Drosophila melanogaster: one gene and its partners. The protein of the gene in region 2 interacts with the protein of the main gene of each other region in a biochemical or structural test. Each region holds a gene or a part of one and is shown on either strand. Other genes may lie near its edges.

Region 1 (7,462 bases), on a different chromosome or scaffold from region 2:
TCAATAAGGTATTTCTAAACAATTATCTGCACCTGAAACACCCTACATTTTCGTTTTGGCTTGCGATAGTTGTGTTTCGCGTAAGACCATCTCTAAAGAAAGGCGAATGACAAATCGTTAAGAAGAAGCATTCTAACCTTACAGCATTGATTTTACGCCAGCGTATTTTGCGAAAAAGTTTGTGAAAATGTTCCAAAACAGCGCTGCCCGCCTCCTGGTCCCCGCTATGCGTAGCGCCATGCAGAGCCGTTGCCAGTCGGTCGTCTCTGGACCTCCGACCCAGCGCATCTCCACCGCCGTAAGTTTGAGCTTGTTGCATAACCAGGATGTGATTCCCAAAGCGAAAAACTGATCCTTCACTTTTTGCATTACAGGAGAAGGTGATCCTCGGCGGCGGCATGTGCGCTGCATCCTTGTTCATTCCCGCCTGGGTGCTCTACCACATCCGGGACTACAAGGGCGACAAGTAATCTGCATACGAGACCACACATAGTTAATACGCTTGTAAAGTAGAGAGCATCAATATATCAATAGTGCCCCTGTTACGGGGAAATAAACTATAGTGCATTGAGCCACAAACTGATTTTATTATTTATCTATGGTCCAGCTGTAAATAAACGTGTGTCTGATATATGGTACTGACATTGTATAAAACGCAGTATGCCAGGTGTAAAGTGGACTCTAAAAGAGGCGGGCGGAATCCTTGATGTTTTAAATTCTTCCGTGTTTAACTTCAAAAACTGGCCAATGAGCTCAAGTTCATTTACTTTAAGTACAGAATCCAATTTATTTACTTTAACTAGAGTCGTGAGTGACAGATAGAAGAAGCATTATGCATATGCTTCCCTAATAAACATGCTTACCCGAGTCGACCGGCCACTATCAGGACTAGAAAATTATTTTTACTAGACATGCAGTGAATGAAAAGACCCTCGCAGTCAATTAAGTCAGCAGCAGATCGTGTGTATTTGTTTATATATTTTCACTTGAAGCATAATTTGAAAGACGGCTACAAATGATTTTAATGGGCATACAAATGCTTTAAACGAGCTTATTAGATATAATCATAGATGCGGTTTATTTTTTTTGCGAGTCCTTGCCGTCGCTCTTTTTGTCCTTGTCCTTGTTGAGTGAACCGACAGCATCGCGCACCGCCTCCGACTGGGGATCAACACCAGGCAGATTCTCCAGCACGCTCTGCAAGAAGGCCGGGTCTCCGATCACCTCCGAGTAATCCTCGTCCACGTCCATGGGAGCGTTTGCCTCGTCCGTCTTTGGGCGCTTTGCTTGCTGGGTAACAGAGTCGTCGGGAGCGTCCTGCATGGACATCTGCATAGCGAAGGCAATCTGTTCCTCCTCAGTCATGTTAGCAAAGTCCGGCAAGTTGTCCTCGGGTGTTTCGGTGGACAGGGCCAGGGCACGCTGCAGCATGGCCTCCTCGGTGTTGGCTTCGTTCTCTGCTCCGGCACTTTCTTCGTTTCCAGGTCCAGATCCCGAAACGCCGCCTCCGCCACCAGCATCTCCGCCAGTCGGTGGAGCCCCATCGGGATTGGCGCGACGTTGCTCGCTCTCCTGGCGCTGCCGTTGCTCCTCCATAGACACACGCAAGGCGAGAGCCAGTTCGGGGTCCTCGTTGGGATCTACACCGAATTCGAAGACGTTGCCGCCCAGGCCAGCTCCGCCCATGCCGTCCTCGCCCTGAATGATGGGTGACGACAGCAGGGCATCCGACAAAACTGATCCCCGAGGCACGCTGACCAAATGGGAGCCGGTGCCGTCCTTGCCATTAAGCGCGTTGATGAATGCTGTGAGAATCTCGTTGTTGTTGCCATGATCACCGAAGCTAACTATGTCTACGTTGACCTTCTCCTTCTTGAGGCGCTTGGCCTGCTTCACTAGATCGCCCTCCTCGTGATTGATGGGGGAGCCCACAAAGACCACGATGCGCATTTTGTGGTTCTTGCCTTGGCGATGCTTCAGCACCAGATGGGCAATTCGGATTCCGGTCAGGAGGTTTATCTCGCCCTTCGGCTGAACCAGATGCATCTTTGAGAAAATCCGTCCTGCATCGCTAGTAAGAGTGGCCAGCACTTCAACGGTGCTGAGGTATAAACAAAGACATAATGAATATGTGGCATGGGCACAAACGCTCCACACTCACTTGGACAGAGTCATCAGGCCCACATTGTTCTCGGGATTGGAACGCAGCTTGGTCAGGCAGACCAGATTGATGCCATCTCTCTGGACGATGAGACGAGTTGGAAAGTAGTCTCCGTTGCGCTGGAAGTCGCTGTTATCAAAGCTGGAAAAGAGCAAAATATGAGTGCCAGACTGTGTGCCGTTGCAAGCAGTACGGGAAAACTAGCGGAAGCTCTTCGTATTGCTCAAAAAACAATAATTTACCATATCATAGTACTCTCCAGAACCATTTTCGTATTTTTGCTTGTCACTTTGCCACTGAACTGTAATTCCCCAGGGTTGCCAGGTGCTGTGCTGCCTGAACTATCGGCATTAAAATATCGGATTTGTATGACCGTTGTGCGATATTTTTGTTTGATTATATTTACATATGTACATTCTTTTACATTTTTCTACACCAGTCCATTATTTAATGTTAGTCCTGTGGAAAAGTAATTTAGATTATGTAACACATTTAAAGTTGTTTATTTTATTTACTAATTCAGAATATTAATATAAGCAACAATGTTGAAACAAACAAAATGATGTATATTATCTCCGCAAGGAATATTACACTGAAACCAATCATTAGGCTCATGATTCCACCAGTTGACGCTGGAAAAGATACAAGGAAGATACAACGCTTTAGTCAACTGCCTTGAATTCTAAAACCATCTCTATATAAAAGTTGTATAATTTGTTTTTATCAATTTTGGATAAGCCTGAAGCTCTTTTGTATGGTACTAGGCAAAATCAAGCAAAAATATTTCCTTACGAGGTGACGAGTTACATACGTTATGTAACGACAAATAGTAATATTTGATTTGTATCAAATAAATTAACTCCTAAGTATGCAACTTTGAGCATAAAAATACCTTCTGATAAACGGTAATATTTGGATTTTTTAAGCAGATTGTGCATTACACACTCTCTTATTGTGCATTACACTCCGGGTGAACATCGTCACTACATGGACTGTTTTTATTAATCGACTTAAAATACCCCCTCGAGTTAAAAAAAAAAAAACATGGACGTTTATACTATCAGACGGACGGGCATCCCTGATAGACTCGGAATATTATCGGAATTGCAATTACTGTTCTAGTAACGATATAACAATAACGTAGAAAGTATTTAAGATCTAAAAAATTTAATAAATAGCATACCCATATATTCAGTGGGTCCGGTATACGAAGTCCTTACACTGCTCCTGAAATAGTTGTCGGTGTGAAAAAAGTTTACTACCGCCAAGTTTTTGCGCATGTATTCACTTGAGAAATTCGTCAAGTAGTTGGTCTGTGCCTTGACGTCCTTTTGGCTGAATGGAGTGGAAAATGCATCGGGAAAGAAAATTAGGTCGTGGCAGCTGGTCAGGCAAAACTCCTTGCACTGAGAGCTCTGTAGGTCGAAGATCTGGGACTCTGCCCGATTCAGACATTCAAAGTGGAACACATCGCACACTGAGGCGTTGGGATAAATTAGTGGTAGGTAGTAGGGAATACAACTGCAAAGTCTCAGGAAAAACATGGAGTCGCACTCGGCCTCGCAGTTTCGGCGCGTATAGTAGCGATAGAAGAGTAATTCCTGTTCGTCACTAAAAATACACTGGCGTTTCGTCCTGTGAATATTCCTTATAGAGGGTGTAGCCTCAACGTTTCTAGCTATGATGCGAAAACTCGTCTGGTGCCCAATCATCACAGGTAATCCTGACTCCTTCATGCGCGGCTGGTCTATCGGATTATACAGGAGTATCTGAAAGGTATCTGAAAGGTATAAGCTAGCTGGGCAAAAAGCGTACAACACAACTTACCTTAAAGCCCTGTCCGTTTGTGGAGGAGCAGAAATAGTCGTCCACGTGACCGTTGAGAACGATTTGCAGACCCATCGAGGTACCAACTCCAACTCCCGGACGCGGATAGTAACTTGAGGGTAGTCTCTGTGGGTAGCCAGATATTGGATCCCAGTCCACGGCGATATCTGCAAACCTGTCGGACGAAGTGAAGTCCCGAATGTAGGGCGATCTTTAAATGAGTAAGTAAGTTATTCGTTCTTTTGACCTTCGTTGAACCCTACTTGAACTTATAAAGATAATACGGATGCAAGACATTAAATATGCAGCACAATCCTTCATCCACGAAAGTTTCTCTAAAGATGTCAGTGCAGGGTATCCTTTGTTGATGAAATATGCAGGATACTATCAGATCTGCACACTTCTCGGAAACATCCAATATGAAATTTGAGAATGTTTCATTTCTGTGCTGAGTATCCATGTATTGCGAGAAATTTGACTCCTTATAGCAGGTCTTTTGAAGCATGGCGTATCTTATGGAGCCCCTAATAGAGTTTATTATATAATTGGGTTTCCATGGGACTTGAATGATACTTACGGCATTAAATGCTCTACTTTCGACTTTTTAGCCTGGTTCATATTGCAAACCGTTATGGTTGGAAACGGAATTTGATCAATGGGAGTCATCTTAGAGCTAACTTTAAAGTAAGATTAAAATGTATTCATATCCCTAAAAGTAATATATGTTATGATTTATATACTTCCAATAATAACTGGTGTGCTGTCCCACTTATTGTAAATTCCAACCGCCAAGTTCACGGCCACAAAAAGAACCAAGGCGAATATGATGGCGAAGTAAAGCTTTATCCACCAAGAATAATTATTATCACTAATAACGTACTTAAGCATTTCCATTGACGTATTTCTTAGGAAACTTTTTCCCCTTTTTCGGCTAACGCTTCGAATTTTTCCATGGAATTTCTTTATCAAGCGCATGGTCTGGTTTTTAGAAGAATTTTATGAATACTGTTCACCTGAGTTGGCCCGAATAACTTCTAATTACTTCAGATTGCCTGTAATAGCCTTAATTTACGTTAGAAATGGTATCTTATTTAGTTTCAAAGTCAATTAGAGCGTTACTGCTACACAGCAAATATGTTCAGGTACATTTGATAGTCAGATAAATTTTATATTCACACAAGCGGAATTATTACATTGAGATAATGTCAGATAAATAAATATAGATATTAAAGCTTTAGAACGTTACAACTACGTTATATCCTCCGTTAAATCCTCTCCATCTGTTCACTAACAGAATTTGACCACGTATCATTTATAAATTTTTTCGAGTGAAGTTACGCTGCGCTCCTGTCATTGCCGCGTCATTATTAGGAGCAATTATTTATACAATATACATACAAATGGTATACCCTTTAACACTAATTAAATAAATAGCCGGGTGGAAATAAATCCTTTTGATTAGTAAACTGCTTTCTAAGCTTTGATAGAATGGGGGAGTAACACTGTAAATCTTATTATTAAATATTATCTTACATCATTATGCCCGTTACTCGTAAATAAGAAGGCTTAGTAGATTCGTTATGTATGTAGAAGGATTAAGATGAAGATTATTGCTACGCCAATTCTAACGGCCCAAAACCGTTACGCCTTTCTGTCCAGTTTGATATTCTGTCTATTGATATGCCAAAAAAATTAAAAAATTTCTCGGGTATCTGATAGTCGAATAAAACGTTCTCTTCTGTTGTCGTTTTCATTCTTTTGTTCCTTTCCCAGAATTCCTAGTAAAATTTAAAAAGCGTTCGAACATTCAAACAGTAAACGGTTTGTTGTGCGTGTGATTTTAGTCTTCAATGGCTTTGGTCACACTGCGGAAAAAAATTGTGAATGTGATCCAAGGTGCATAAAACGACAAAGTAAGAAACTGTGAGTGCTGTGGACATTAAACCAGCTTCGATTTCAAGAAGTCGCACTCCCTGAAAGCAAGCAGGTAATGTAAAACATTCATCGCGTGCGATGCAAGGGTTATTTTGAAGTGCGGGATCGCAACGTTCATATGCGTACAGGAATCCTCGCACTTGCATACATACTTACATTGCATATTTCACTGATGCTAAGGGGATATTTGAAATGCAAAAGGTGTCACGAGTGCATTTCGTGTGCTTTCCTGCTAAGGATTGCGGAAACTCCCGAACAACTGTGGTTTAAGGGTACACGGGCTCTGTTTGCCGAATCTGCGTATGTACGCAGTGGCTGTGTCTGTAGGTATGTTCGTTTGGGGGTAAGAACGCTTGAGACTGGAGGTCACATTTTCCTGAATTTACCCATTTTGCCTAGCGTCAATCGCTAACCCCTCGCCTTTGCTTTCAGGTCATCAGGTCCAGACTTGTCAGTGATTTGAAAACCCGAAAACCCTTTTGCGATCATCGTAGCGAAATGAGTGCCGTCACCAGCAGCGATACAGCCATCAGCGGCATGGCTCTTGGCCGGAGCCAGACCATCTGCCGCTACTACGTGCGCGGCATCTGCCGCTTTGGGGAACTTTGCCGCTTCTCCCACGACCTGAGCCGCGGTCGTCCCGAGTGCGAGGAGCAGGTGGCCACCGACGTGCTGCCGAAGCCTAGTACAAGCAGCAGCAGCACCATTGGCAGCCGCAGCGCCAGCATCTCCAGTCAGCAGAGGAACTGGGCGAACGCCCCTGTGTTTGTGCCTAGCCAAAAGCGCTATACTGCCCACGAACAAAGCGAATTTGAGACCACTGTGGACCCTGAGGCGGTGATGGAGGCGCAGGCTGGAGCCAGCTACGATACATTAGCCCCGGGTGTCTCCTGGGCCGAAGTAGTGGGCGGACCTTCGTCTCTGAACAAAGAGGACTATGGCGAGGAGAACAGTTCCTGCGCCTGGGGCGAATTCTCCGCTTACCCCATTCACATGGAGCTGTGCGAAATGTGCGACCAGTATTGCCTGCATCCCACGGATCAAGTTCAGCGGAGGAGTCACAACCGTGAGTGCCTTCAGCAGCACGAGCAGGCCATGGAGCTGTCCTTCGCCATTGCCAGATCCAAGGACAAGACGTGCGGCATCTGCTTTGACACGATTATGGAAAAGGCGGGAAGAGAAAAGCGCTTCGGCATTCTCCCCAACTGCAACCACATATTCTGCTTGGAGTGCATTCGCACATGGCGTCAGGCCAAACAGTTTGAGAACAAAATAACGCGGTAAGTAAATGCTTTAGAGACGCTTCTTTGGTGACTACCAAGTAATTAAAGTAATTATCCAATTAAAAATCGAAGTTGTAGTAAGAATTTTAACCAAACTATTCATTCTGCTTAATAAAGTGGAACGACAAACAAGTTTCGTAAATATAATGCGTTTCTAAATAATCCTTTCAATTGAAGCATTACTCGTTAACTAGATGCTAATACCTTAAACATACAAAACAATAAGCTGAATGCAGACTAAATTGATGTATGTTTG
Region 2 (6,493 bases):
GACACAGGGTTCACATTTTTAGATGGTAATGACTGTTCGAGTGCAATGACTATTAGATATAGTGAGTTGTGCAAGCAGTAAAGGGACTGCTTTTAGGACTATGGAAATTGATTGATTGGATTTAACTATCCCCATATTCTGTTAGAATGCCCTAAGGATTATTAGCGTGATTGGAATTGTAAACAACTAGGCATTATTAAGAAGCAAACTTGCGCAATGTAGTCGTAAATAAAACATGCATTTTTAACTACAACTTTAAAGCTCTATTAGTTTTCCAAGACTGTACGTTAGGCGGATAGGGAAATCTAGATCATGATCAAGAAGAATATGAATTTTATAGGCTCGATACGCATCATTCTACATAAGACTTACTTTATAACGATATATTCGTAACCATTTTATTTTTATACTCTTTACTCGTAGAGTAAAAGTGTATAATAGATTCGTTTAAATGTATCTAACAGCTACAAGTTAGTGTTTCCAATCATATAATGTACATATATTCTTGATCAGGATCGATAGCCCCATCCGTCTGTCGAGTTTCTTAGCAACTATAAAAGCTAGAAGCTTGAGATTAGGCATACAGATTCTAGAGACATAGACCCATATTTCCCCTTTCCCCTCCTCCCCTCCCTCCCCTCCCACAATTTTGAAAAATATTTTGATTTTTTTTCACATTTTTATTGTTTTGTAAATTTGTATCGATTCGCCAAAAATATTTTTGCCACGCCCACTCTAACGCCCACAAACCAATCAAAACTTTTTTTTCATTCATTCATTCATTCATTTCATTCATTAATTTCATTCATTCATTTCATTCATTAATTTCATTCATTCATTTCATTCATTAATTTCATTCATTTCATTCATTTCATTCATTTCATTCATTTCATTCATTTCATTCATTTCATTCATTTCATTCATTTCATTCATTTCATTCATTTCATTCATTTCATTCATTTCATTCATTTCATTCATTTCATTCATTTCATTCATTTCATTCATTTCATTCATTTCATTCATTTCATTCATTTCATTCATTTCATTCATTTCATTCATTTCATTCATTTCATTCATTTCATTCATTTCATTCATTTCATTCATTTCATTCATTTCATTCATTTCATTCATTTCATTCATTTCATTCATTTCATTCATTTCATTCATTTCATTCATTTCATTCATTTCATTCATTTCATTCATTTCATTCATTTCATTCATTTCATTCATTTCATTCATTTCATTCATTTCATTCATTTCATTCATTTCATTCATTTCATTCATTTCATTCATTTCATTCATTTCATTCATTTCATTCATTTCATTCATTTCATTCATTTCATTCATTTCATTCATTTCATTCATTTCATTCATTTCATTCATTTCATTCATTTCATTCATTTCATTCATTTCATTCATTTCATTCATTTCATTCATTTCATTCATTCATTTATATCATTCATTCATTTCATTCATATCATTCATTCATTTCATTCATTCATTTTCACTGTGGAGTTTCTATCGATATGCCAGAAGAAAGATGCTAGTTCGTTCACCCTGACACTAGCTGAGTAACGAGAGTATCTGATAGTCGGGGAACTCGAATATAGCATTCTCTTTTGTTAAAGAGTAAGTTCGGTTAACATAAGTTAAACTATGTAGTAATTGATCGAAAACGGGTACCTCAACAAATTACCTTTAATTTATTAAAATGATTTAAACCATTATTAACCTCCCGACAGAAATCTAGGTGTTTGTTATTTTTCAGGAGGTGAGAATACATTTTTTAGAAGGTTTCCTTTCCCATTTGCTGAATAAGACACATTACTGTTGAATCAGTAATAGGTCAAAACCACAATGAAACATAATAAAAGTAATATCCAAACTGAAATTTATTTCGCATACTTCTTAGGCATTGCTAATAACCCAGGAGCGGAGGGCAGCAACATCGGCATAGACACCGGGGTAGTTGGAGTAAGCGCATCCGTATCCCCAGGAGACAACACCGACGAGGACTCCGCCGGAGACCAGTGGGCCACCGGAGTCACCCTGGCAGGCATCCTTGCCGCTGGCAGCAGCGCAGATCATGGTGCTGCGGATCTGGCTACCGTATCCGTAGGTGGAGGAAGCACACTGGCTCTGGCTAACGATGTTCACGTTCACGTACTGCAGCTGGGAGGGGATGGAGCTGGATCCGTAGGAGAGAGTGCCCCATCCGGAGACGGAGGCCGCAGCGCCGTTGGCGGGGTTGGAGCTAGCCAGACCGATGGCCTTGATGGTGGAGCTGAAGGTCAGGGCGCCGTTGATCTTGATGATGGCAATGTCGTTGACCATGGTGTTGGCGTTGTAGCCCTCGTGGTTCTTGAAGGAGGACACAGAGAAGGTGACACCGCCGGAGCTCCAGTAGCTGGATCCAGCACGGATCTGCAGGACGGAAGCGGACACGGACTGCAGACAGTGAGCGGCGGTCACGATGACGTTGCTGGAGTAGATGGATCCACCGCAGGAGTGGCTTCCACTGCGCTGCAGGGAGATCTGCCAGGGGAAGCTGCTGATGGTGGTAGCAGAGCCGCCGACAATGCGGCCATCCAACTGAGGCAGGAGTCCCTCAGGGACGGTGCCTCCCAGGGCGCAGGCTACTGCAGACAACAAGATCACGAACTTCAGCATGGTGCGAATCCAATGAGTTGACTCTAAACTGGACACCCCTTTTATACAGGGACCTATCTCTTTGTGGCGCTCTTATCATAAATTTCAATTATTTTTATCACTTGCTTGTCAGGGAAATCCAAAATATTTTTTAAATGTGTGACCGACAAATAGATTTCGCGAATAAGAAGTATATACGTATACAAAGTCCAGATTCATGCCAAACGATTTTTTTTTGCAATAAGTTGGTCATTTAAATAGCTTGAAAAAGATAGTCACATAAAGATATCGGGGTTTAAACGAAATTAAAACAATTTATATTTCTATAAACAATTTATTGTGTTTTAAATAAACAGACACCATAATTTTTTAAAAGAAATTATATAACTTATGAGAAACATCATGAGCATTACTAGAAAACAATGCAATTGAACGCATAATCATGTAATTAAAATTAATGCAAAGGCGATTAAATTGTTCTTAAAATTAATGGTTTTACAAAATTCACAAATTAAAATGCTAAACAGTTATTTTCTTTTAAAAAGCCAATAATATTAATAGTTATGCACACAATTATGTATAATAATTGGATTAGATTAGAACTAAATCAAGTTGAATGACAAGCATCCACTTTTAAAAAATTCCACAATGTTATTGTACAAGTTTAATCCCCTATTTAAATATGTAAGTCGAAAAAAGACGTTCCCATCAATACCTTGCAAATTAAATATAATAAAAAGAACGCGAATTATTTAGAAAGGTAATATAAAAGTAGTTACACTTTCCTTGCATTTTTATTTATTTTTGTGATAAAGAGCCGTGCGACTTCTGAGTTGTGGAATATCATTTGGGCACTTCAACGGTATTATTTGGGTTTTCCTGACACGCAGGTGATAAAAATAATTGAAAGTTGTGATTATAGTGCCAAGAACAGATTGGAAACTCGTATAAAAGGGGTGTCCAGTTTAGAGTCAACTCATTGGATTCGCACCATGCTGAAGTTCGTGATCTTGTTGTCTGCAGTAGCCTGCGCCCTGGGAGGCACCGTCCCTGAGGGACTCCTGCCTCAGTTGGATGGCCGCATTGTCGGCGGCTCTGCTACCACCATCAGCAGCTTCCCCTGGCAGATCTCCCTGCAGCGCAGTGGAAGCCACTCCTGCGGTGGATCCATCTACTCCAGCAACGTCATCGTGACCGCCGCTCACTGTCTGCAGTCCGTGTCCGCTTCCGTCCTGCAGATCCGTGCTGGATCCAGCTACTGGAGCTCCGGCGGTGTCACCTTCTCTGTGTCCTCCTTCAAGAACCACGAGGGCTACAACGCCAACACCATGGTCAACGACATTGCCATCATCAAGATCAACGGCGCCCTGACCTTCAGCTCCACCATCAAGGCCATCGGTCTGGCTAGCTCCAACCCCGCCAACGGCGCTGCGGCCTCCGTCTCCGGATGGGGCACTCTCTCCTACGGATCCAGCTCCATCCCCTCCCAGCTGCAGTACGTGAACGTGAACATCGTTAGCCAGAGCCAGTGTGCTTCCTCCACCTACGGATACGGTAGCCAGATCCGCAGCACCATGATCTGCGCTGCTGCCAGCGGCAAGGATGCCTGCCAGGGTGACTCCGGTGGCCCACTGGTCTCCGGCGGAGTCCTCGTCGGTGTTGTCTCCTGGGGATACGGATGCGCTTACTCCAACTACCCCGGTGTCTATGCCGATGTTGCTGCCCTCCGCTCCTGGGTTATTAGCAATGCCTAAGAAGTATGCGAAATAAATTTCAGTTTGGATATTACTTTTATTATGTTTCATTGTGGTTTTGACCTATTACTGATTCAACAGTAATGTGTCTTATTCAGCAAATGGGAAAGGAAACCTTCTAAAAAATGTATTCTCACCTCCTGAAAAATAACAAACACCTAGATTTCTGTCGGGAGGTTAATAATGGTTTAAATCATTTTAATAAATTAAAGGTAATTTGTTGAGGTACCCGTTTTCGATCAATTACTACATAGTTTAACTTATGTTAACCGAACTTACTCTTTAACAAAAGAGAATGCTATATTCGAGTTCCCCGACTATCAGATACTCTCGTTACTCAGCTAGTGTCAGGGTGAACGAACTAGCATCTTTCTTCTGGCATATCGATAGAAACTCCACAGTGAAAATGAATGAATGAAATGAATGAATGATATGAATGAAATGAATGAATGATATAAATGAATGAATGAAATGAATGAAATGAATGAAATGAATGAAATGAATGAAATGAATGAAATGAATGAAATGAATGAAATGAATGAAATGAATGAAATGAATGAAATGAATGAAATGAATGAAATGAATGAAATGAATGAAATGAATGAAATGAATGAAATGAATGAAATGAATGAAATGAATGAAATGAATGAAATGAATGAAATGAATGAAATGAATGAAATGAATGAAATGAATGAAATGAATGAAATGAATGAAATGAATGAAATGATATGAAATGAATGAAATGAATGAAATGAATGAAATGAATGAAATGAATGAAATGAATGAAATGAATGAAATGAATGAAATGAATGAAATGAATGAAATGAATGAAATGAATGAAATGAATGAAATGAATGAAATGAATGAAATGAATGAAATGAATGAAATGAATGAAATGAATGAAATGAATGAAATGAATGAAATGAATGAAATGAATGAAATGAATGAAATGAATGAAATGAATGAAATGAATGAAATGAATGAAATGAATGAAATGAATGAAATGAATGAAATGAATGAAATGAATGAAATGAATGAAATGAATGAAATGAATGAAATGAATGAAATGAATGAAATGAATGAATGAAATGAATGAATGAAATTAATGAATGAAATGAATGAATGAAATTAATGAATGAAATGAATGAATGAAATTAATGAATGAAATGAATGAATGAATGAATGAAAAAAAAGTTTTGATTGGTTTGTGGGCGTTAGAGTGGGCGTGGCAAAAATATTTTTGGCGAATCGATACAAATTTACAAAACAATAAAAATGTGAAAAAAATCAAAATATTTTTCAAAATTGTGGGAGGGGAAATATGGGTCTATGTCTCTAGAATCTGTATGCCTAATCTCAAGCTTCTAGCTTTTATAGTTGCTAAGAACTCGACAGACGGATGGGGCTATCGATCCTGATCAAGAATATATGTACATTATATGATTGGAAACACTAACTTGTAGCTGTTAGATACATTTAAACGAATCTATTATACACTTTTACTCTACGAGTAAAGAGTATAAAAATAAAATGGTTACGAATATATCGTTATAAAGTAAGTCTTATGTAGAATGATGCGTATCGAGCCTATAAAATTCATATTCTTCTTGATCATGATCTAGATTTCCCTATCCGCCTAACGTACAGTCTTGGAAAACTAATAGAGCTTTAAAGTTGTAGTTAAAAATGCATGTTTTATTTACGACTACATTGCGCAAGTTTGCTTCTTAATAATGCCTAGTTGTTTACAATTCCAATCACGCTAATAATCCTTAGGGCATTCTAACAGAATATGGGGATAGTTAAATCCAATCAATCAATTTCCATAGTCCTAAAAGCAGTCCCTTTACTGCTTGCACAACTCACTATATCTAATAGTCATTGCACTCGAACAGTCATTACCATCTAAAAATGTGAACCCTGTGTCCTGATTTTTAACTAAGACCATCTTTTAAAATAAACTGACGACCGTCATAAACTGTTCATATATGATTTATTTCGAAAAATAATTAGGCGTTGTTGATCACCCAGGAGCGGAGGGCAGCAACATCGGCATAGACACCGGGGTAGTTGGAGTAAGCGCATCCGTA
Region 3 (9,624 bases), on a different chromosome or scaffold from region 2:
GTAAGACTCACTCCGCCCAGTGGCTTCTGATCTATAATATTGAGTTTCTCCCTGTATCCCAGCGGCGTTCCGAAGAGACCAAGGAGCTGTACTTCGAAAAGAGTCGTGTCAACGAGGAGCAGATGCAGCTGACCGAGTGCAAGGCAAACCACTTCAAGACGGAAATGGACCGGCTGCGCGAGCGACAAATGAAAATCGAGCGGGAGAAGCACGACCTGGAGAAGAAGATTCGCGACGCCGACTTCTATGTCCACCAGCTGACGGTGGAGAACGACAAGCGGGAGGCCGAGACTGAGAAGCTGCGCAAGGAGCTGATCTGCGCCAAAATGGCGGAGCGCGAGGCCACCGCTCGCCTGCTCGAATTCCTCAACAGCGGCCGCAAGTCCTCCACGGATAGCCTGCTGACCGCCTCCAGTGTGTCGCACGCGGCGAATACGGCGTCCAGCATGGCGGCCATCAGCACACCCTCCCTGATCACAAGCAGCTCAACCAATGATTTGGAGACCGCCGGCGGCGCCGAGCTGACCACCCACTCGTCACACTACCTGGTCCAAGGTGACAACTCCAGCGGCATTTCGGACGACTTCGAGCCCAAGGAGTTCATACTCACCGACAACGAGATGGAGCAGATCACCAATGAGATGGAGCGCAACCACCTCGACTACCTGCGCAACTCCAAGCAGGTGCAAAGTCAACTGCAGACACTGCGCTCCGAGATCGCGCCGCACAAGATTGAGGAGAACCAGAGCAACCTGGACATCCTCAGCGAGGCGCAGATCAAGGCCGGCGAAAATAAATACTCCACGCTCAAGAAACTCAAGTCCGGCTCGACCAAGGCGCGTGTCGCCTTCTTCGAGGAGCTCTGACCTCCTCCGCCTCCGCCTCCTCCGTCACCTACTCCCCCCTCACCCCCGCATCCGCCGACATGACTAATACCCCATCTAGCTGTACGATACGTTACGATTTGGCGTGTGTGCCTGTGCGCGTGCTAGAGTGTATGAGTGCCTTAACCGTAGTTGTACTATATCCTACTATAACATACTATATTTAATGTTTTTCGATTGTTCGCTCAAGCCGCTGCTGTAATAAACCAATTGCAAACGTACATATGTACATACATATGTACATATATGATTTTACATTCACTTACGCACGAAAAATATTCATAAAGTAGATGGGCGATTAGATACCGTTATTTTCGGTAGAAGATATTCAACACCTTCCATGCAGTTCCACAATTCATCGCTCTTGAGAAACATCACACCCTCTCACCGACACCGACTCTCTCGAACGCGATCTCTCTCTTCCAAAAATGAAAACTAATAAACCGCAAAACAGAATCAAAGGACGATTAAAATGCGCTCAAACAACGGTGATCAATAGCGAAGATTTGGCGCTCTTTTGACTTTGTCAGTGTGTTGATACCTTCCCTGCAGTTCCCCAATTCATCGATCTTGAGAAACATCACACTCTCTCACCGACACCGACTCTCTCGCGAGCGATCTCTCTCCCAAAGATGAAAAACCATAAACCGCAAAACCCAAAACCGCTAAAGCAGCGATGAAAAAACGCTGAATCAAAGGACGATTGGCCCGTTAAAATGCGCTTAAACAACGGTGATTAATAGCGATGTTTTTGGGATTTTTTTTTCATACCGATGATTTCCTAAAACATGCCAATGTTAAAATCACCGGTAGCTTTCGTGCAAATTGTGCGGTGTTTAAGCGCTCAACATTTTTAAAAGAGCGGTGATTTACCGATTAAAAGTCGGTGACTGGAACTGCAGGCACGGATTTGTTCTAGTTAAGTCTGAATGTTAATTACGATATTCTTGAAGCTCCCTCCTATTCCGCTGAGCGTGGTCGGTTTACGGATGTTATCCCAGAGACTGTGGATGTCCATCCGATTCCATGGTCTCTTAGTTCTGTTGCCATATATTTTCTGTCAGCTCGTTTAAATACATATGTACATATGTACATACATACATACAACTATGCAAATCGGAACGAAAATGCTGTCTTCCTGCAGTGTATCCTATAGCTAAAAAAATAAAGTGGCGCAAATTAAACGATTGGATTTCTATTTATTTATTATAATTTTTCAAGATTTCAGACAAAGGAATTGCATTTTAATTGAATCTGACTATAGATATGTATGTACCTGTAGACTATAGATTATGCCTAACGTTTAACTGCAAGGGTACTTAATCCTTTAACTTGGCGTGCACGGCGTTAAAGGAAATTTCCCACTCGATATGATAGACGGATCATTCAAAGGTATAGGGTTTCAGATCCGAAGAGTACTCCGGACTCGTTCGCACCATCAGTGTATCTTTGTCTAATTCAAGATCTTCAAAGGGTGTTTCTACCCTATACACCTTGTTATGTTCCGTTATTACGCGGAGTAATTATAATAAGAGAACTTTATTTAAAGTTTAAATAACGGTAAAAACTTAATATTAGATATTAAATAAACGAAATGTCATAGTTCAAATGAAAATGTATGTTATCCATATTGATTTCTGCTATTCCATTTAATTGAGTGAATCAAAAATCCAAAATTAATCAATTTTTTATAAGAAATAAAAGTGATTAAATGTATGGATATAGATGTGGCATGTGTTCCAGCCAAAATTTCATTGAAGCACGCGTAGAACACAGCCCAATTTGCAACTTTCGCAGAAGTGAGGAACTTGCGATAAGTGAGTGTCAAATTTATATAATAAAAACCCAATGGCACGAAGTTCGGTTTCCATTCGGGCCTCGAGCTACAATGAAGAAAGTCATAGCGGCACTCCTGATCCTCTTTGCCTCTCTATTTCTCGGATCCCGAGAGGGATCGGCTTTCCTGCTCGACGCGGAATGTGGAAGGTCGCTTCCAACTAACGCTAAGCTAACTTGGTGGAATTACTTTGATAGCAGCACTGACATACAGGCCAATCCTTGGATTGTTTCGGTGATAGTGAATGGCAAGGCCAAATGCAGTGGATCGCTCATCAATCATAGTGAGTGTTTGTGCCAAATGATGAGTGTCTTATTTAGCTCACGCAAGGCTAAATTTTAACCATTCCAGGATTTGTTTTGACAGCAGCACATTGCGTATTTAGAGAAGCCATGTAAGTCCTGCCCATTCGCCAGCATATGTGGTGGTCATCAGCCCATTACCCAATCTCTCCCTGTAGGCAGGTGCACTTGGGTGATTTCGACGCCTGGAATCCTGGACAAAATTGCAGCTCGGGTGCTCGCTTATCAAACGCATACTGCGTTCGGATCGACAAGAAGATCGTGCACGCCGGATTCGGCAAAATACAAGCCCAACAGTACGACATTGGCCTACTCCGGATGCAGCATGCGGTGCAGTATTCAGGTAATTGAGTGGGAGATATCCAGTCGTTGCCCTCGAAAGTCTCAACCAGAACTGCCTTTCCCCTATAGACTTCGTGCGCCCCATTTGCCTGCTCATCAATGAGCCAGTGGCGGCCATCGACCGATTCCAGTTGACCGTCTGGGGCACCACTGCAGAAGACTTTCGCAGCATACCACGGGTGCTGAAGCATTCCGTTGGGGATCGTATCGATCGCGAACTCTGCACCTTGAAGTTCCAGCAGCAGGTGGACGAGTCGCAGATATGCGTCCACACCGAGACGAGCCACGCATGCAAAGGGGATTCCGGTGGCCCCTTTAGCGCAAAAATTCTCTACGGGGGCACGTATCGCACCTTCCAGTTTGGCATCATCATCTTCGGCTTGAGCTCCTGTGCGGGCCTAAGTGTCTGCACCAATGTGACTTTCTACATGGACTGGATCTGGGATGCTCTGGTTAACTTGTCGGCATGAGGACATAAGTTATAAGTTATAAGTGTATAAGTTATTATAAACGTTTAAGCTGCAGTAAAGATTTGGAATAGCAATTAGAAAGTACTGCTTACTAAAACTAAGCCAGAGTGGGTGAGCTGCTTTATTTCGGATGCCTTTGGAAGTAAATGAGATAGTAGAGAGTAATAGACGAGGTTGGCTATAATCTAAAACCAAAGTAGCTTTATTACGTTTTCAAACATGTGATCATTTACATTTAATTACTTTGCCTCACTTCCTTCACTAAACAAATAAACGTAGTTCCACTAGTCCACTAGCCCAACTGACCAACCAACAACCCGGCCAGCCAGCCAGCCGGCCAGCCAGCCAGCCGGCCGACCAGCCAATCCCACAGCGGACGAGCGAGGCTATGTGGTGGTAGCACTTACAGGGTATACACTGAATCCATATCTTATATAAACGGTGAGCGCGCGAAGGAAAGCTTTTCGAAAGTGTGTGTGTGTGTGATTGATCGGAAATGGGAACCCAAATGGTCGGTTATAGGTTTTATATACGAAAGCTTAGAGTAAATTACATTACAAGTTATTATTGGGGCTTCCTCTCTTTACTAAGGAGTTGGTTTTTTTTTTTTTTTTTTTTTTTTGTTTTATAGTTTTACGTCTTTTGTTAACACCTTGGAATATTTTGATATATATATATATATGTATATACATATATATATACCTATATACACACATTAACTTACAGTAGATATCGTTAGCATGCAAATCGCTTGTGTGCAACAACTTTTTACATTTGTATTCCTCTGAACGGGATGTGGGATAAATAACGCTTGGAGATTGCTCTTATATTAACGAATCGATAAACATTTTGATTGACTACAGCATACTCGCGCGTATGTTAGGATTCCCCCAAGACAGTGTCGTCTTTGCATATAGCCGATATCTACTGTACGTTTGTCCTGTTTGCAGTTGTTTGCAATTTCCAGAACGTTTTCCGATCGCGAGAAATGGAGGGGGGGGGGAGTCAGAAGGACTGCGGCTATAGCCCACGCCCACTAGCACCCGACTAAAACTAAACTGCCTGACCAGAACACAGGATATATACTACGCCTCTGATCTCTGTACCGATTCTTTTTTCTTAAACACAAAACTGGAATTCGCATCTGTTGGCGACAAAATAGTTATTACATTATCAATGACAAAAGTGCACATTCCCGCTTAACTTTATTGAAAATTAACGAAGTTCTCCGATAAAGAAATGCGTTAAGTATTTCGATTGAAGTTGTTGGGCGTGCAAAACTATGCATTACGTGAGCAAAGTATGCATATTCAAGTTGGTTTTCGGCTAACGCATTTCCGCTTAAAGGATTCTCCGAGCTCACGAAATGTAAATTATTTAAAAAAAAAAAAAATCTGATATCAACTACGAAAGTGCTAACACTTTGGTATGCGATCCCTATCTAACATTCTCACCGGCGTCATTCATATCACCCACCTATATCTAGTATCTCTCCGATCTCGAGGCAACTATGCTCGTTTGGAGCCATCTTTTTGTGTCTTGGGGGTGTTGGTATGTTGGCATGTGGCTATGATGGATTCCTGACATTTCCGGCTTGATGGGGAAACAAGCGATCAGCAGCGCTGACCGTGGAATTTTTTGGCGGAGGGTGTGTGTTTGGGTTTAGGACCTGTCCTCCTAACTAGTCGTGTTCTCATTCGCGTTCTCCAGGGCCGTAGTGGTATATATAGTAGTTGTAGTTCGTAGATATATAGACAGGTTGTGTACAGTTTGGTTATGGCTATGGCTTAGCCTTGTTAACTCAAGGACAACTGGTTGAGGGACAGCAGTCGCTCTACCGCCGCATTGATGTCCCCGAAGGTAGCGATCAGAGCTGCAAACCAAACACAAGAGAGCGGATTAGAATCATCGCACAGGGCAGGCGACCCACCAAGACCCACTAGGACACTCACCCTGCAAGTTGGCATCACGGTTGACAAAGCCCATGGCGTTCAGCTGCTCCAGCTGCGACTGGTAGCGCACCTCCGGCGGCTGTGTGTTGTCCGCGTTGTTCGACATCCCGTTGAGCATGCGCATCATGAAGTCGTTGAAGAGCTGCGCGTTGGGACCACCGCCCGGGGCCAGGTTTGGAGTGCCGGTGCCGGCGTTGAGGCCGCTGCTTGGCGAAACATTGTTGGTGCTGGCACCGCTGTTGCCCCCGCTCCCATCGCCGCTGGCTGGATTCGTTCCGGTGCCGGCACCCGGTGGTGGCGGTGGAATGCCCAGGGTGCCAACGAGACCTGGGGCCGCGCTGCGCAGCTGCTCCATGCCCTGCTGGATCTGCAGGATAGCGTTCATTGCATCCGGATTGGTCAGCATGTTCATCACCTCGGGGTTCTGCATTTGGGCCATAAACTGCGGCATCATCTGACGCACCTGCTCCTGCAGGGCGGGATTGTTAGACATGAGCGGACTGCTGCTCAGCAAGCGCGCGGCCATGTCCGGGTCCTGTGACATGGACTCCATCATGGAACGCGTGTAGGGCGCGTTCAGCAGGTTCTGCATCATGGCTGGATTGTCGGCCATCTGCTGGAGCAGGCTTCGCATGGCCGGCGTGTTGAGCACATTGTTCGGCGGCAGATCCCCCGTCGGATTGCCGGCGCCGGAGCCACCGACTGTTCCATTGGTTCCCGAATTGGCACCGCCCCATGGATTCGGCAGGGGATTGCGGTTCTCGGTGCCCTGCTGCGGGTTGTTGCCGGCTCCTGAACCGCCGCCGTCGACCAGGCCGGCAAAGGGGTTGCGACCAAAGGATTCCGTGGCCGCGTTCATCATTGGCTCCTGAATATCGCGGTAGATGCGCTGCAGGGCGCTATAGCCGCCCGGCACCGACTCCAGATTCGACATGGCGCGGTCGTGCGAACGCATCAGCTCCTGCAACATCGAGGGATTGCGGGCCAGCTCCATCGTCTGGCGCAGCAGGTCCGGATTGTTAAGCATATGCGAGATCTCGGGGTTGCGCTGCATCAGGTCATGCATTTGCGGATTGGACGTGATAAGCTGACGCATGGTATCCGGATTATTCATCATCTGCTGCACCATCGGGTTGTCCATCAGGGAGCGCAGCATGTCGCCATTGTTGAGCAGCTCGTTCTGCATGCGCGCCTGCAGATCCATGAACGTGTTCGATCCGGCTCCAAGTGCCTCCATTCCGGCCAGGCCACCGAATTGATTGAGGCCAAAGGGCGTTTGGCGCACGTCAGCCGGCTGTCGGGCCGGCTGCTCGTTGTTGCGCGTCGGCGCCTTAATCACCAGATGCACCGTCAGGTTGTCCTTGATGTTGTGCATCTGAAGGGTGTCCGTGTCCTTCATAATTTTGCCGGCAAAAATGAGCACGAGCTGCTCGGGCTCCGCCTCGAACTTTTGTGCAACCAGAATTTTGAACTGTGGGGCGAGAATGGTGTGATTGTTGTCATTATTATGTGCCCATGGTCTAGTTTCCCCTTTCAATTAAATGTTCGCTCCCATGCCTCTGCTTCAATTTATGTGTGTTAATGGGAAGAAGACCAATCACTGTGCAAAGTGCACTGTACCAGCTGCGCGTGTTGTGTGCGGCTTAGGCAAAGTGCACTGTACCGCGATTACGGGCACTAATTTCCCAATACTTTCGGGGGTGTGGGCAAAGAGCAGGGAGGGAGGGAGGTGGTCCATCGCTATGAATGGAAGGGTCCAGAAGGGTTTGGGGTACCAGCAACCAAGTCAGGCGGGTCACGTGCTCCGTACTCACATCTTTTATTCCAGAATCTTCGTCAACTTCGACCGTTTTCTTGTCCTTTGGCGTTTTTACAACCACGTTGATGCGCTTGCTGCCGCCTTCCGCCATTTCGATGGTGTATTTGCGGTGTTCTCGTTTAGCTTAATTTGCACCGATGTAGCTGGTTCTTTCGAGATGTTATCACGTCTGTAATTTAAATGTGTTCCGAATATATACGTGTTTTCACCCTAAATTATTTCCCATTTGATGAAAAGTAATTCGTCACTTTCTCACTCACACGGACACACACACACTCACGATGGATTTCGATTTTGACTCTTACACACGCCAGGGCTGACGTATCAACCACCAATCGATGAATCGATAGCGGCCAATTGAACGCTTTGAACGCGTCCAAAACCGCTGCCAAGTAGTTTGCTCTGCTTGAAAACGTATTCGGCAGAGGGCGTTCTAGAGATACAAGCAACGGGTGGCCTAGAATTCGAATTTCGGCTGAAATGCGATGTTTGGCACCTATCGCATTTAGTGGGGCCGTTCGTCGACAGGTAGCCCCAGTGATATCGCATATCGGACTGCGATAACTTTCGATAAGCGGTCACACTGCGGACAAGCAACTCGTCGACAACATATATCGTCAGCATCGCGAGCGGGGGCAGGGAGGAGAGCGATCGCCTTAGCCAACTGAGGATTCTGCATTTGCGAGAGAGCCAGAGACAAAACAGTAACACGGTACCACAGTTGCTCGAAGCGAGCAATTGGCATTGCAAGGCCCTGATAGCCCTATTCGTAATTTAGTCGTAGTGAAGCCCCGGACAAGAAGCCCACACCTGGGCAGTGAAATGTTTAAGAGCCACTTCCAGGAACGCAGCGTATAAACGGTTTCCGAGAACTGGCCACCAATACACAGCCAACAAGTGCGAGGCCAACAGCAAGGTGCTCTTGTGTGTGTGAGAGAGCGCCGTTTTGGTGTGCGCGCGTGTGTAAGAGCGAGAGAGAGACAGAAAGAGAGGAAAAGAGCTAAAGACAGAGAGACAGAGTGGGAGAGAGAGAGAGAGAGAGCCAGAGTAAACCTTAACAGCAAGGGAAGGAGGGGATTAGGATTAGGATTAGGATTGGGAGCAGAACCAGGACCAGGAAGATGGTGGCCCAGGAGCAGCTCGTCCTGCTGCTCATGCTGCTTGCCGGCTGCCGGGGTGGCGCCAACGCCATCTTGGATCCTGGCTGGGTGATTCCCTCCAAGGTGGAGCAGCTCATCGGCGGCGACTTTAATCTGAGCTGCACCCTCAACGAAGACTACTTTAACGGCAAGAGCGCCGAGGACTGCCCGGTGGAGAAGCTGTACTTTACAGGCGGCGGCCGCGTCTACCGCGATTCCAAGCACATCCGAATCCTGAACAACACCACCATCCTGTTTAGCGACACGAATGCCGTGGAGCAAGAGAACGACTACCACTGCATGTGCGACGAGTATGTGATCAACAAGTCAAAGGTCTACGTGGGCACCAGGCCGCTCCTGGTGCGCGACTTCAACTGCCTGGACTACGACTTCCAGTTTATGGTGTGCAACTTCACCCAGCCGCCCAACACGGTCATCACCAAGTACAACATCAGCTACAACACCAACAACGACTGGCGATATAGCAACACACTGGACTGCAACTTCGACTCGGCGCCAGTGGTCACCTGTAACCTAACCGACGACAACTACAAGCGCTTCAGCGAGACCTTCTACTTCCGACTGTCCATCTCCAATGCCCTGGGCCACGAGACGCAGCCGATCACGATCAATCACTTTGAGCGTCTGGTGCCGGCGCGACCTGGCCAGAACCTGACCCTGCTCAACAGGACCGAGAGCTCCGTGTGCCTGTCGTGGGAGATGCCCCGTCGGTCCAACTACAATCGCGGCCTGGTGTGGCAGGTGCGCGTCACGCCGCAAAACTTTGAGCCCATCACGCGGCCCAGCTGGCGAAACCACACGCTGACCATCAAGGACACGCTCTGCCTCACGGAGCTGCCCTTCGCCGGCTACAACTAC
Region 4 (8,719 bases), on a different chromosome or scaffold from region 2:
TCCCCTTATGACTATTTTAACGTATTTTGGGATCGGACAGGAGCAGAAGGACACGTTAAATTCCGTGAATGCCACTGGTATAGCTATGCTATTCTCCGCTGGAACATTTTTGTACGTAGCAACTGTGCATGTTTTACCAGAGCTTACCCAAGGGGGATTTACGAAAAGCGATCAGCATGATTATTGTTTGCTAGAGGAATCTCGAGGTGTTGCTACGAATGATATAAATGGAAGCAATAGTATTCAAGCACTAAAATATAGTGAATTGGTAATTCTGATTTGCGGCGCACTGCTACCCCTAATTATAACATTTGGACATAATCACTAGTAATGTAGTAATACATATATTTTTGTCAAATAAGATGAAGTAAAAGTTAAGGGATATTAAGCTATAAATATATTGGGTTTAATTTCTCGGATATACAATTATTAACATTAAGTGCTTTGCACAAAGATTTTGAATTTAATGAATTGTCGCATGAAAGTCAAATTTGGTACCGACGTCAACTTTTGTCAGCTTTCTGTAAAGTTGAGTGATTTGAGAGGCCTTATACGAGAATGTATTGTGAGTAAACCAAGCAAAATGAGGAAGGTCAAAAAGTAGTGCAAGAAATATTTTACTTTAATATTTAGACTTGCGCAGGCAGGAATAGTACGCAAGTCGGCGCCGAATTCATTGGCATCAGAATTTTGACTCCGGCTCCTATATACTATATGTTAATTTATAATTATATATGTTTTTATTGTATTTAATAACAATGGATAGTTTACGTTCTCAGAATGGTAGTAAAAAGTAAGAGACGGTTTAAAGGCAGCTTGGCAATGTCACCATTGGTTTACTGGATAACGTCTTCTGTTACGGCCTTAGATTACGGATTTCTATAACTACTTCTGCTATGACTTTCTACATTTATAGATACCTTTCTGCGTCTTTTCTACTTTAATTCTGCTCAACTTCTTTGCGGAATATTTTTCGCGCGTTCTTTATTTCCGCTGTTCTTGTCTTGTCTTGTAAATATGAATCATATCTTAGCAAAGATCTTTAAAAACTTCTTTGGCTATAAATGATGTGTATTATGGGCACTTCTCTTCTACTAGAACGTGAAAAAAACTGTTTCCCAAAATCACGACGACAAATAGCTTTGCTGACTGCAGTTTTAGGCAGTTTTTTAAACCATGGCGTTAAGTTGATCCATCTTTGTTTTTGACTATGACGAGTCTGCTGGCGAAATTCGGCGCCGACTTGCGTACTATTCCTTTTCGTTGCCATTCCGAAACCTGATCTCGATTCTCTTCTCCTTGGGCACAATCGACAAAATTTGGTAAAATGTTCAATTACTTGTAGCATGGATTTGTTTCAAATTAGGATAAATTGTTTTCCCTTTACATATATACAATCTTATAATATTTTGTATCTTTTCACCGCGTAGCATCTTACTAATACTTCCAAAATCACTAGGTTGCGTCATATCGATATGAGAAAGTGTACATCAATCCGGTAGTTTGTGTGTAAACACCACTCTATCGTTCTAACTTTTTGATTTGTCGTTAGATAAGCTGTGAAGCTTGTCTTTCGTCGTTGCCAGACCATTTCCACATAAATGTGTATGTTTTCACTTTATATGTATGTCACTGTGGTCGGCAGTCCTATTCGTGTCAATGGTCACCAAAGAGTTTCTATACTACAATTTTGAGCTTAAAGATTTGTCATTAACACAGTCAAACCAAAGACACTAGAATAACGTTATTTGTGGTCCGGTGGGTATGCCCATGTTTATAAAGTTAATTCGACCCAGTCTAAAGTTCTGGAACGTGTCAAGGAAAGAAGTATTAACGAGTGCTTCTCTTTCCACTTACCTGCGTTCTACCAAATCTACCAATAATTCTTGTGTCTTTGAATCTACATTGAGTCAGGAAAGATTTATAATTGTAGCAACATTATAGAGGGGACCATAGCCATACATGAAACTATTAGAGATTTATTAATATTAAAGTGTAGAATTCTTTGCATTAATAATGCATATTACAATGTTCGAGTTTTATATTTGTCGTATTAATTGGCAAGCAGAAAAGTATCATAAGTCCAAATGTTCTACAGTTTTGTATATTTGTAAATTAATGATAATCTAAGTACTGTAAAACTGGAGAACATTTATTCCTGTAAAAATAAGCAATAAAAAATATTTATAAAAATTTTAATTAGTTTTTTCGTGAGTAAAGGGTATCTGATAGTCGAGGCACTCGACTATAGAATTGTTATGAATGTCATGCAATTAATGAAATTGTTTTATTTCTCCGACTCATCCTGAAAGGAATCACCAAAGAGACGCCACAGCTTATTAGGGCATAATTGCGGACATTATTTACAATAAAAAAACACGAAATTTATGTAATACAATGATTAATATATTTTAGTCATATGTCCAACATCCAGGACGACAAAAAGTACTTTATGTGTTAAGTGACTTAATTGTGGACTCCCACTAGTCAAAAAAATATTTTATAAATCAACCAAGATAAGGAAAGAATAAATCATAAGACTTCTTTAGCTTAATACGACCTTAAAATAATTAATGTGTGTATTGCATATACACTAGAAATACACACACTAGAAATATACTTTGCCATCCATTAGGTGAAGGCCTAATCCAAGGCCTCCCTACCATGGATTGGCACAGATAAATTTGTAGACATTTGCAGTCTTATGCTGAAGACAATGTCGTGGTGAAATATTTAGTAAAAATGACATCGTAACTCTATTTTACCCATGGCTGCAATTTTTAACAAATAACAAGTACAATACGCCGACGGTATTAAAAGAATATAAAAGAATTTTTATGATCGACATTTTACATTTAATTTAAGAACATCTAACTTTAAATGTAACGCTTCCGGTGTTATTTGCATAACTTCTTACATTTTGTCATCCTAATCATCGAAGCTAGACGATAGCAAAAAATTAGCTGCTTGTTCCTCGTTCTTTTCACAAGCGAAGTACGCTTGCAGTACAAGGGCCTCTGGGAATCCAAGAGCTTTTAGCTAGAAGAAGAATATATTAAGTAACTCGACAGTCCATATATAATTATTCACTCCTATATACCCGTTCTATTGCGTCCTTATCTTGGCGATTTAAACGAATGGTTGATACTCCTAAAGGTTGTTCCAAGTCTTCGTTATCCGCTGCGCTACCGCTTTGATGTGCTGCACTTGTACCCGCGGCTGATCTTTGTGCTGAAGTAGCTACTTCTAAATCTGGAGAAAAGAGGTCAACATTGTCCAAAGTTGAAGGAATCCGCGCATTCGAAACGGGAGGAACGGTGGCGCCTGACTCCGATTCGCGGTCAATCGGTTGATTAAGCATATTGAGAAACGCATCTTGGTTCTCCGAAATAAGTTGTAAAAGGGCTGGGTTTGTCTGACCAATCTATACGTAAAAAAAATTATCATTTACGTGTCATGTAATTATTATTATAAGTGTACTTACCTGCTGCAATACTGCATGCAAAAGATGAGGGTTTTGATAAATTAAAGATCGCATTTGAAGAAACTGTGGCTGGCTACGTAAAAATTCAAAGGGGTCTGAAACGTAAATATAAATAATTAAATAATAATTAAATTAACTAAAAACATATAGTGATGCCCTGTCCTTGAAGAGAATAGTGACAAAAATTCGTGAATTATCGCTCCTTTAGTGTCTGTTGACATATATATGTAAATGATACTGCGGGACAACGAGCTCACAAACATTTTAGTGAATCTTTAACAGCTGCATATATTTCCAGTACTAAGAGAACTCTTTTATTATTTATTAACGAATGTGCAACATAAGTTTTGATCAACAATATTTCTTGACCAGGAAAACTAACGCAATTATGTTAAGGCCGTATAATTTCATTAAAGAGCGAGAGCCAAATCGGGTTTATTAATTTCACTATGTTTTGAAGTGTGCAAATTTAGTACTTCTGGGTAGAAATTATATATTTTCGTTTCATACAAGAATACATAAATTGACTGCTGATTGAAATCCCATCAAGTTACCTGAATTTGATTCTGTTGAACGCTCGGCAGAGGTTGCCGACGCAGGTTGCGGTCCGGAGGGGATTAGACTAGGATTCGTTGATTCATTCAGCCTATTGTAAAAAGTACCTTCCTCTGCAGGTATGCCATTAATGAGATATTCAACGGCTCTTTCCGGGTTGTTATAACTAGCAGCCATCGCACGTTCAACCTGCTCTCTTGGGTAACCCATTTCCACCATTGATAGGACTGTTTGGTTGTATTCGTCACCCATAAGCAAATTAGATTCAGCGCGCGATTGTAAGGAAGCCTGGGCCAACTCGCCAATCAATTCGTCACTAGATAAAGGTCTGGTTTCACGTGATAAAACTGAATCTTCTGTATTTGTGGAACTAGGCGAATTGGTATGGTTGGCTTCTTCGCAAGGCATAGATTGCTTTGAATCGTCGGTGCTAGTCAATTTATTACTTTCTTTTACACTAAGTTGATTACGATTTGAACTAGACGAATCGCGTGTCAACATTACCACAATGAACTTTTTTTCATCAACGTTGTATGAACCAACGGTGCGGTCATCCGTCAATATGACGCCAGCGTAGATCAGTTTTTGTTTTTCGGCGACGTACTCTGGACCGCGCTCCTCGAATATTTTCTTCTTCAGTTCCAAAACCTTTTGTAATCAGAATCCCTGCTTATTATGGTACAACAAATTAATTGTAAGAAATACCTGTATAAGCACACATATGCATTTGCAATAATTGTATATACCATACATGTGAATATACTAGTATTTGACTATTTGTACACATACCGTTTTTTCCGGGGCAAACTCAATAGTAAAAGTTTGCTGTTGAAGATTTTTAATTGTAATAATCATCTTGTGTATCAGACAAAACCAAAACTTAATTAAATATACATATGCATACACATATGCAAACTCGAAAGTTAGTTCCCAATATCGCTTGATAAAAACGATTTGTCATCAGTGTGACCGCACATGGACTGGCAAATTATACCTTCTCGCTTAAAAGACACAAAATCGCAGCACAAACCAAAGAGTTCAATAGTCCTTATAACATTTTCACACATCAAGAAAGATGTAAAGATTTGTAATGAAATTTATAATGAAATATGAAATATTGAAGTCATAATGAACGTAACAAATAAACAATTGTCCGTGGTTTGACTGTAGTTAGTATTTCATTATATCAACGATTTAGATCATACTATATACAGGTTATACCTGTAGTATATAAGTCTATTTATAATATACCATCGGTTGATGATCAATAAATTTCAAAGAAATTTAATTTTTAATTCCGTTTAAGTAGTTCGGTATTTCTTTAAAAATACTTTAGTTTAACCAAAGACACTAGAATAACAAGATGCGTAACGGCCATACATTGGTTTGGCACTATGCAGCCACTTCTTTGGTGACTGCCAAAATTACTCTCTTTCCGCTCACTCCCGCTGAGAGCGTAAGAAATCTAAAAATATAATTTGATTGCTTGTGTGAGTAAAAACAAGAGACGAGAACGCGTATAAGTGTGCGTGTTGTGCTAGAAGACGATTTTCGGGCCGAAATCAATTCTGATCGAAGAAACGAATTTACATGGTACATATTAGGGTAGTTTTTGCCAATTTCCTAGCAATATGATAAAATAAAAAAATTTTTAAAAATTCGCGCCCTGACTATTATAATTTTAAAGCTTTTTAAATTTGTTTGTTAAAATCGCCGCTCGAATTAGCTACCGTTTACACATTTATATTTATGTTTAATTCTAATTTGTCTCTCATCTGACAATTTTTTAAAAGAGAAATTATTTTTTTAAAACACTTTTAATGTTAATGTTACATCATATTAAGTCAAATGATTTAATAAATATACTAAATAATTAAATATGATAACTGTTTATTGCAAAAGTAATATCAAAGTAATATACTAGAATAATTCTAATGCTTTGTTCATATCTTGAGGCACGAAGTGCGGACACAAGCACTCAACAATCATTGCCTTATTAATTTTTCACACGCCGCAAGATGAATACTCTAATGACAAATATTCTTATATAAAGTCATTTTTGAAATTTATTTTTGTGATAATATGTACATAGATTTGGCTATTTCTGATATATTTTCAAATAATAATAACGTTAAGGCAATGCAAAACAAGAATTTTTCGCATGGTGCCAATTGATCAAAAATAATATAGATTTAAAGTCTAAAAACTTCTGAGGTGAAGGGCATATTTTGTCAAATTTACAATGCATGAGCATACGTGTGCACACATACAGATGTCTCCTACCACTTTGTGCGTTGAAAAGAGCTGTTCGCTGTAGCGCTCTTCGCTCTCTCGCTCTCAAACAAAAATTCGAGAGAGCCTGGAGCCACCTCTAGAGCCACGGCCAAAAAATCGTGTGCCAAAAAATCGTATGGCGTTACGCATCTTGTTATTCTAGGGTCTTTGGGCAAACCAATGTATGGCCGTTACGCATCTTGTTATTCTAGTGTCTTTGGTAATACCGTATTCCTTTCAAAAGATATACATCAATGCTTATCTTCTGTCTTGTGAACATATATGATTTGAGTTCATATAAGATTAACGAAAATTTCGAAATTAAGATAACTATTGCTGTATCATCAGTGGGGTGTTTAAATGTAGTAAATATCGAGAATTTTAAAAGATACAATTTCAAAAATGACAAATGTGTTAATTCTAAATAATTGTATATACCATAAAAACAAAAAATAAAAATTTGCTGTTGAAGATTTTTAATTGTAATAATAATCTTGTGCATTAGACATTTGCAAAGAATAATACAAAAAATACACGAATGCATTGTTTTTCCACTTATCAATTAATAATAATAAATAAGTGTATTCATGTGAATTAATTTCATTTCTTGTGTTAGCATCAGATTTTCATTTCTTCGTGCACTCTCTCCTAGCTTTCTTTTTAACCGTGACATATCGGGATCTGCCAAGAAAACTATTTGATGACAGGATCTAGAGGAAGTAAACAATTCGATGCACTTGTCAAGGTAGAATAAGGATGGCTGTATTCAGAACTCTTGTCAGTTATTATCCCCCTAAGTTCCGATTTTGGGAATTCCTAATGAGTAGCACAACAAAATTGGCTGCACTCAGCCACAATTATATTTTGGTAAATGTTTCAAAGTACTCCGTATTATAACTCGTACCTATGTATATGCATACATATACTAGTATTTTCAATGACATGCGCACAGAGTCGAGCTTTTCATGCAAACGAGCTCTTATAAAAAAATGTATTCGACGTGTTTTCATTGGCATAAGTAGCTCGATATTAACTTAAACGACATATTGTTTTAGGAATAAAGTAGTTTTAAAGTAAAATACAGTTTTTGCCGTTATTTAAATTCAAAGGAAAGACTCAAATTTGTAATAACAACACGCAATCTAATAAGACAGTGTAAAAACATAGAGTACTGTAACAATTATACTGAATGTTGGATTAGTTTGGTTTGCTTATTTCTTAATTGGGATCTCCGGCACCTGCAACCTTTATGACAGCGAACTAAACAAATAATAATGTTTTGGACCAAGTTTTATGAGATTTACATAAGTCAAACATAAAACAATGTGTACTCCTTTAAAAAGAAAGCCATTAAATAACAATATTATATGCTCTACATCTTAAAGTGCGACATAGTTTATACTGTGGTGGTACTGTGGTATAAAAAATAAACAAATAAAAATAAGTTGGGTGTTGTTATTATATATTATTATACACCTTAGTTACAGAAAGTTACGTTCTTATCTGCATGAAATAAATATGTATGCCCGAAGATATTATATCTTACATAATCGATTTCTTTGTTATTTACTTGAATTAAGATTCGAATTGTCGTAAAAAAATTACACATACTTCTCACTATTACAGACATGGCAAGCATAGTACTTATAGCTTGCTTGGCTATATTGGGATTAATTATTACAATCGCTCTTTTTCTGGCTGGAGGATACTTGTGGTGGAGGCATAAAAGATCACAGTTACAGTTTATTGAACCAAATGAAGATGAGGAATCTAGTAGTTATAGTCTTCGGTAAGTATTTGCATTTCCTGTTTAGTATATGACTTTATATATTTCATGGGGACAGACATTCGACTCTTAACAAGCGATAGAGGATCTATTTATGTCTATGACTGTATATTATCAACGATTTTGAGTATGCAGTATTTCTAAATTGTCCTATTCATTTGACTTTTTTATAAATACGTTAGTTGAGTACCCTCGGAATATTTAGAATATTTATATATCATGCTCTGCAATATATAATAATATATAATTATAATTTAGCTACAAAAAACCAACATTTTTGAGTTGTATGCAGTTTAATGAAACATCATAATTTATAGCTTATTATCGGATGATTGATTGGCAAATACAAAATTTTAACGTTAAAATATTTTATTCTTCTGTAACGGGAACCAATCGATATAAATTGCTAATTATGCCCGTTACTTGTAGATTAAAAGGGTATAGTAGATTCGATGAAAAGTAAGTAACAGGTAGAAGGAAGCGTTTCCGACCATATAAAGTATATATATTCCGTCTGTCCGATCTCGATCCCAGGAACTATAAAAGCTGGAATGTTGAGATTATGCATGCAGTTTCCAGAGACAAATGTTGCCAAGCCCACACTACCGCCCGTCGTATTT

Evidence for each region.
Region 1: of the proteins of gammaTry (region 2) and Rpn10, one has a biochemical effect on the other in vitro, tested with the Drosophila melanogaster proteins (one study listed by BioGRID).
Region 3: of the proteins of gammaTry (region 2) and Ubqn, one has a biochemical effect on the other in vitro, tested with the Drosophila melanogaster proteins (one study listed by BioGRID).
Region 4: of the proteins of gammaTry (region 2) and Rad23, one has a biochemical effect on the other in vitro, tested with the Drosophila melanogaster proteins (one study listed by BioGRID).

What each region holds. Positions count from the first base shown.
Region 1 is NT_037436.4:21,532,080-21,539,541, reverse strand, and holds Rpn10 (regulatory particle non-ATPase 10), read right to left. Parts: upstream 2,543-7,462; 5' UTR 2,430-2,542; coding exon 2,404-2,429; intron 2,303-2,403; coding exon 2,162-2,302; intron 2,102-2,161; coding exon 1,078-2,101; 3' UTR 960-1,077; downstream 1-959. Other genes in the region: COX8 (cytochrome c oxidase subunit 8), read left to right, coding at 188-298, 375-470; ppk5 (pickpocket 5), read right to left, coding at 2,681-2,793, 3,345-3,930, 3,989-4,199, 4,252-4,512, 4,566-4,665, 4,729-4,882; Mkrn1 (makorin 1), read left to right, coding at 6,422-7,203. UniProt on the Drosophila melanogaster protein: Binds and presumably selects ubiquitin-conjugates for destruction.
Region 2 is NT_033778.4:11,347,186-11,353,678, forward strand, and holds gammaTry (gammaTrypsin), read right to left. Parts: upstream 2,686-6,493; 5' UTR 2,671-2,685; coding exon 1,909-2,670; 3' UTR 1,876-1,908; downstream 1-1,875. Other genes in the region: CG30031 (uncharacterized protein), read left to right, coding at 3,642-4,403; CG30025 (uncharacterized protein), read right to left, coding at 6,413-6,493.
Region 3 is NC_004354.4:19,682,074-19,691,697, reverse strand, and holds Ubqn (ubiquilin), read right to left. Parts: upstream 7,891-9,624; 5' UTR 7,698-7,890; coding exon 7,602-7,697; intron 7,259-7,601; coding exon 5,788-7,258; intron 5,709-5,787; coding exon 5,632-5,708; 3' UTR 4,040-5,631; downstream 1-4,039. Other genes in the region: Mer (merlin), read left to right, coding at 63-866; CG14227 (uncharacterized protein), read left to right, coding at 2,773-3,004, 3,073-3,115, 3,182-3,366, 3,435-3,835; dome (domeless), read left to right, coding at 8,728-9,624.
Region 4 is NC_004353.4:304,399-313,117, reverse strand, and holds Rad23 (Rad23), read right to left. Parts: upstream 5,026-8,719; 5' UTR 4,895-5,025; coding exon 4,829-4,894; intron 4,706-4,828; exon of another isoform or gene 4,688-4,705; coding exon 4,039-4,687; intron 3,580-4,038; coding exon 3,485-3,579; intron 3,425-3,484; coding exon 3,101-3,424; intron 3,040-3,100; coding exon 2,929-3,039; 3' UTR 2,296-2,928; downstream 1-2,295. Other genes in the region: Zip102B (Zinc/iron regulated transporter-related protein 102B), read left to right, coding at 1-328; Syt7 (synaptotagmin 7), read left to right, coding at 7,942-8,102.